Linked DNA regions of Kluyveromyces lactis. The protein of the gene in region 2 purifies or fractionates together with the protein of the main gene of each other region. This does not show direct contact. Links are inferred from orthologs where the notes say so. Each region holds a gene or a part of one and is shown on either strand. Other genes may lie near its edges. The genes, in order: RNA15 and CLP1.

What was found.
Region 1: the proteins of CLP1 (region 2) and RNA15 purify together in Saccharomyces cerevisiae (affinity purification with mass spectrometry; 8 studies listed by BioGRID, with this or other methods). This does not show direct contact. The link is inferred for Kluyveromyces lactis from reciprocal best matches to the Saccharomyces cerevisiae genes CLP1 and RNA15.

Annotation. Positions count from the first base shown.
Region 1 is NC_006042.1:864,102-867,141, reverse strand, and holds RNA15 (Rna15p), read right to left. Parts: upstream 1,433-3,040; coding exon 656-1,432; downstream 1-655. Other genes in the region: transcription elongation factor DST1, read left to right, coding at 1,839-2,717. UniProt on the Saccharomyces cerevisiae protein: RNA-binding component of the cleavage factor IA (CFIA) complex, which is involved in the endonucleolytic cleavage during polyadenylation-dependent pre-mRNA 3'-end formation and cooperates with the cleavage factor NAB4/CFIB and the cleavage and polyadenylation factor (CPF) complex.
Region 2 is NC_006039.1:859,959-863,452, reverse strand, and holds CLP1 (cleavage polyadenylation factor subunit CLP1), read right to left. Parts: upstream 1,829-3,494; coding exon 515-1,828; downstream 1-514. Other genes in the region: APC5 (anaphase promoting complex subunit 5), read right to left, coding at 1-352; TUM1 (thiosulfate sulfurtransferase), read right to left, coding at 2,141-3,040; SET6 (Set6p), read left to right, coding at 3,492-3,494. UniProt on the Saccharomyces cerevisiae protein: Component of the cleavage factor IA (CF IA) complex, which is involved in the endonucleolytic cleavage during polyadenylation-dependent pre-mRNA 3'-end formation. Associates with HRB1/CF IB to form the cleavage factor I (CF I) complex.

The DNA.
Region 1 (3,040 bases), on a different chromosome or scaffold from region 2:
CTTAAAAATCTCGATGGTAACTGGTTCATGGCCTAGTCCGCTATGGACGGTTGTATTTCCTTTAGCCTTGCTACATATGAAGCAAGGCTGAGAAAGCTTATTCATTTGTCACAAACTTGGTGGCAGAGAAACGATGTTTGCGGCAGTTGTCATTTTACAGCAGCAGCATCATCATCAGATGGATATCATTGACGATTAACTTGAAAAAATTGTGCTATACTTGACTCGGATTATTGCTTTCCACACATGAGTACTCTTCTTATCCGTTAAAGCCTCCACCTTAGTGTCTTTCAGCTCATTCTGGGTTGAAGTTTTCACAAATGTTAATAGGGTAGACGCTAGTTAATTTCATTTTCTTGGAGCTGATACACGTGACTTTACAGAGTTAATTAATTTGAATAGATACTGCATACGTGGAGTAAGCTTGGTTATTAACCCTTCTCTTCATTATTTCCATAAAATTATACTGCTACTTCTGTCTTACCGTCAAGCGCATTCTGGCTCATTGAAGGTATATTTTAGAGACTGAACTTTACTTCATCCGAAAGTGCGTATTCAATTTGTACATTCTACACCGTTTCATCTATAAGCATTAATGAACTTTATAGTTGACGCATGTTCATTATTTTTGATTTTCCATCCATGAGACGATCTATTAAAGATGACCGAATTCACCTTTCATTGCCCTCTGTTTGAGTTCCCAAACTGCCATCTTTTCGTCTTGCGGAAGCATTGCTATATCTGAATCCTGTAGCTGTAGAACTTGCCTTAGAAGATCCACTTTCTCTTCGTCTAATCCGTCTTCCACTGTGTTATCAGTCTGTTCCTCTGGCCTTTGTTTACTCGCCATAGCCAATTGTGTCAATTGGTCCACACTGCACACACCGTTACTCAACAGGAGTTCCGCAATAGCATAGCTCAATTGAGGTGCCTCTTCTAGGAGTGCTACGAAAGTTTCCTTGTCGTCTTTACAGAAATGTTGGATTACTTTTAGTAGAGCCATCTGTTGGTCCTTTTGTAGCTTCCCCAATTCACTACTGATACACATTGCTGGTGTAGTCATATTGATGTTAACGTCCACCCCTACCGGGAGCCATGGGAACTTCACATCCTCAACCATGTTTCCATTCTCCTCTTCATCTCCGGGGCCAGATCCGCTGCCGTTTATGCCACTACCGGTGGTGTATCCGCACTTTAACGATCTTGAACCCAATGTATACCCGTTCAAGTTTCTAACTGCACTTGCCGAAGTTGCCAAATCTTTGAATTCAATAAAAGCATAACCCTTAGATTTACCCGTCGTTGGGTCAAACATCATCTTCATTGCCGTTACTGGTCCTATCGTCTGACATAGGTCTAATATTTGTTGTTCTGTTTGGTCATACGGTATCGAACCTAAATAAACTGTGCGCGATGGATTTCCCCTGTTCATTGCTTTTTAACTATTTCTATGATTGAAATTGGTTGCACCAGGTTATTTTCACAGCTAGCTGTCTGGTGGAAGTCTGTCTTACAAGTCCTTCGATGCTCTTAGCGGTACTTTATAAGTGTAATAAAACTCAGATATGGCTTTATTGTTCGATTCTTCAACTTTCGTCATCAACTTCAATTCTAATTTTTTTTTCAATGTTCGAATGAAATGAAATTAGAATTGAAAACTAATTAATGACTTCAAACAATCAACACTGTCCATTGTCCAAATGGTGGATTTCAGCAGGTCCTAACTCATTAGAATCTGTTGAGAGCAATATTTGCTGTGTATTATTAACATTCATTCTTCATCTTCGAAAGAAATTGATCCTGGAATATAGATAGAAACTGAGATATCTTCTGCGGATATGGAAACCAAGGACGTTTTAGAAGCCGTCAAAGGATTAGAGAAGAACAAAAATAATAATGATGTTGTGTTCAAGATTCTACAGTCATTAGATAAAGATTTGAAAGATGTTAATGAGAAGCTTCTTAGAGAGACGAAAGTAGGGGTCGTAGTCAACCAATTTAAGAAATCTTCCAATCCAGACATCGTCAAATTGGTGAAGAAGATGATTTTATCCTGGAAAGATGCTGTGGCTCGTGAAAAGAAAAGCAAACTAAGCAGCAATTCCTCATCTACAAGTAACAATAATGGTACAAGCGGTGGAGAAGCAGTAAAGAAGGAGAAATATGTCAGCAAAGCTCCAAGAAATGCTAAGAACGACGGTGTGAAAACGGATATATATGGTGTCAAGATTAGAGATATGGCTATTAGGGCATTATATGATGCATTGGCAAAAGAAAGTGAACATCCTCCAGTAGCTATCCTAGATACAGTAATGAGTATTGAGACAGAAATGGCTAATCTGTTCAATCCCGAGTCTGACGAAAAGGGATATCGTGACAAATACAGAATAATTTACTCAAATATAATCTCCAAGAACAATCCAGATTTGAAACATAGAATTACGAATGGAGAAGTATCAGCCAAACATTTAGTGACTGCTGATCCTAAGGACTTGGCACCGGAACATTTAAAGAAGAAAATTGAGGAAATTGAGAAACAGAATTTGTTTAATGCACAAGGTGCAACTGTAGAAAGATCAGTAACAGATAGATTCCAATGTGGCAAATGTAAACAAAGAAAAGTATCATACTACCAACTACAAACAAGATCTGCGGATGAACCTCTTACTACTTTTTGTACATGTGAGAATTGCGGTAATAGATGGAAGTTCTCGTAGTTGAAATTCTCACTTTGAATTTTACGAAGATAGCCTTGGCATATGATACACTAAAGCAGCATGATGATGGCAGTGATCAAGCACTAAAACTCTTTCGTTATTTCATTGCTAGCTAGATGTGTACACATAGCATCCGCCAATTCTACATCATACATTCTTCCGGCTAACTAGTATTTCATGTATAAATGACCAAAGTTGTAATATCACAATTAAGAATCGTATCTATGGTAAATACTCTACAGATGGTGTTGAATTCATTGTAGTTCGATTTGTTTATATATTGCAAGCTCAAATGAAAATAGTCGGTGCTCACCTTCAATTAT
Region 2 (3,494 bases):
ATTTCGAAAGGACTCCTTGTTGATCTGGAGAAACTATTATTGCATCTCTTAAATGATGAATCAATTCTTGAATGTGGTTAAAACTGGAGATAGAAAATATGAGATTGATCAACTTAAAGGAAGCCTTAGTTTGACTATCCTCGTTCTTTCGGAGATATAAAACTAGATTCTCTAATGTTGGAAGCCCAACGCTATCCAGTTCATCATTTGGAACTATTTGTAATATTCGTGTGATGTTATGGAGGGACAAGTTTATTTCCCCTAGGCAATATAATACGAGTAACGCCACACAGCTGAGATCATACGGATCATAGCCAGTTACTACCCTAATTTTTTGGAATTCGACGGTCATAATGAACCTCAGCAGCAATCTTAATGCTTCTATATATTAGTTTCCTTTTCGGTGTATCTTATTCGCATTTGTGTATATCCTATCATTAAATAAAGTATCCGATTTTGTTGACATTTTTCATAAATATGTAAACAATGACTATGAAAGAATTATAAGTAAGAATCATTCCAAGTATCTGTACTCGGTGAGAATCATAGCTCTATCTGGTATTCTACTCGGTACTGGAAGTAATACCCTGAGTTTTTTCTTTGAATCATTCACTTCTGTGATCAAACCGTACCCGATTATCGATGCAGTGTTAAGTTTATCTTGGCTTTCTTTTCTAGATATATTAGTGATAGCGATAATAGCGTGCTGTAAGTTTGAGCTGTTGACTTCAATTTTGTCAAATACTGTTAGATCAACATCCTTTTTATCCTCTCCATATTCAGAGATATTTCTTGGCCTGAAAACTGTTAATTCTTCAAACCCAGCACCCATAGTGTATGGACTTAGGACTGTTTCTGTGGTACCATAAAAGTACTCTCTTATTTGAACCCTCTGTAAAGCTCTTCTCATGATATCATCAATTGCGATAATTGAACCTGGTGGCGGAATTCTTACAATTGATCCTATTTTAGTCCTGAATACTTCACTCAATTCGATAGCTAAGTCATCACTTTCTGCACATACCACTATTGCGTTAATATCGAATTGTTCTATCATGTGGCCAACTTCGGACCAATCTTCGGTGTCAAGATGTGAAAGTTTAGGGGTATCAATTATTACGCCAGACCTTCTTACTATTGGATCGTTCTTTAATCTCTGTTGCACGCCCGATGCTAGTTGTGTAATCGTCGATAAATATAGTGGTCTATTATCTCTGATATTTTCCAAGCCGTAATTTTTAACAAGAGGTTGCTTGTTATGGAGCTTGGTAGCACCTGTAGTAATACTCTGACCCCATATAGAACTTTCAACATCTAGCAACTCAGAAATGGGTGTCGCTGTAATTGAACCTGGCAAAGAAAAAACACCATCTTGTGGGTTCAAGTTCACTAACAACGGTTGATAATGTCTAATCTTCAACGCGTATGAGCATAGCATTTGAGCTAGCGATGATTTTCCAGTTGAGGCGTTACCTACTATTAGTACTCTAGGTCCATTGAAACTAGAGAGTCGTAATCTTTCTAATGCAAAATTTAGATTGTATATGTAGGCATGATATGACTTATTTTCCGAAACTTTTGGCTCAAGCTCTTCTAAACACTTCCATTCGATCATAGATCGTTCAATAGCATAGATGTTCACTATTACACCTTGGAATGTGTAGGGCACATCGTTGGCAAGCTCTGTTCCCAGTATCTCAGCGATCCCATACTTCACAATAACTGTTAGCTTTGATCCTGCTGGAACTTGAACGGTCCATTCATGGCCCTGCGGAAGAGACGATGTCTTAGTGGTCTCAGAAACCTCGCTGAATTCTACAAACTCCATTTCCTTTTTTCTAGCTTCTCCTGCGAGTGGTAATGGTCGGGCTATCAGCTCATCTACCTTTTGTTCTATGTTAATTAAACCTTTTCTAACACTTAAACACTTTAATTTTGATCAATATATCATTACAGATTTTTCCTAGCATACATACTGAAAATATAGTATAAACCAATTGTGGGCAATTATTGATTTGCGCAGGGTTCTTTTCAAGTGTCAGGGATGCAGAGCTACTGTTCTTTCAGGTAGTACTGCATGTTTCACATCTTCCCTACATTCAGTGTATGGGAAATCACTCATTCTATCGAAGTATTTCTCTTAACTTCCTTTAGCCACTTCTCCATCTTTCATCACCCATTCGGTCCAAGACCCGTCGTAGAGTCTGACATTCTTGACACCTGAAATCTCTAATGCAGTCTTGATTATGACACCTGTGACACCAGTACCACACATTGCAATGGTTGGTTTATCGGTTTCAAACTCATTGCCGGTTTGCGAGACGAAGTCTTGTATTTTCTTTAGCATTTCCTCACGATCTGAAGTAAAAGTTTTATCACTGTTCAAGACCTCTAGGAAGGGCAATGGCTGAACGCCAGGAATGTGACCAGAGCTGAGGCCCGGTCTAGGTTCTGGCGCCTCACCAGTAAATCTTTGAAGACTTCTAGCGTCCAAAACCTGGTAGTTCTTAATATCACCTGTCGACACCAATTTCTGCATATCTTCAAAGGAAACTGTTTCTTTCTCTGCCAAATCAACATCGGACACGTATTCACTCATTTCATATGGAGTAAAACTTGTCACTTTAGAAGTCTCAACGGGGTACCCAGACAGTTTCAGGGCAGGGAAATTGTTCAAGAGATATACGGGATCATGTCCCAAAACAGCTAATGTCCATGCACATCTAGGTGCGCTAAAGTTACCAATTCTATCATAAACCACTAAAATATCATCCTTCTTCAGTCCCAATTCACTCATGGATTTATTGAAAGTACTGAGATCTGGTAACATATGAGGATATTCAGATTTCATGTCTTTGACACCATCAATATCAAAATAAACAGCTCCTTTTAGACGTTCTTCATCTAAAAATTCTTGCTTCCCACTTCTGTTCAAGTTTGGTAAATACCAGGTGGAATCTACTGGGATAATACGGCGCTTAGTTTCCTTGGATAATAATTCTGCGAATGCTTTAGGTGTTAATAATTTGTAAAGTGTCATGATGTTTTAAAAACAATTCAATGATCTGGGAAACGCAATTGGGTAGAGCAATAACAATCAAATTTAGCAAGCCAAATAATGCGACTACAACGTGCAAAATTCTGATTTCCTTCTACGTCGTAACTGTGAGTTCCTTCCCCTTTCCTATCCTTACTTTTGCTGTGGTCAAAGATCTAATTTTGACACGATAGTGGAAAGACTACCACGCGAACTGATGTTTACAGTTCACGTGACTCTTAAAATCTACTGATCTAGTTGAAGATATAATTTCAAAAGGAATTTGGAGCGTTGATTTCAGGCGATGAGATGCAATGAGATGGGCTGCTTGGCAAAATATGATGTTAACTGGTCAGAGGTATCTACACTTAAAATCCTCTGAATTATATATTACGAACTAGAATTCATGGATATATGCCAATTGTGAGGGAGTTAGATATAATACAGGACACGGATG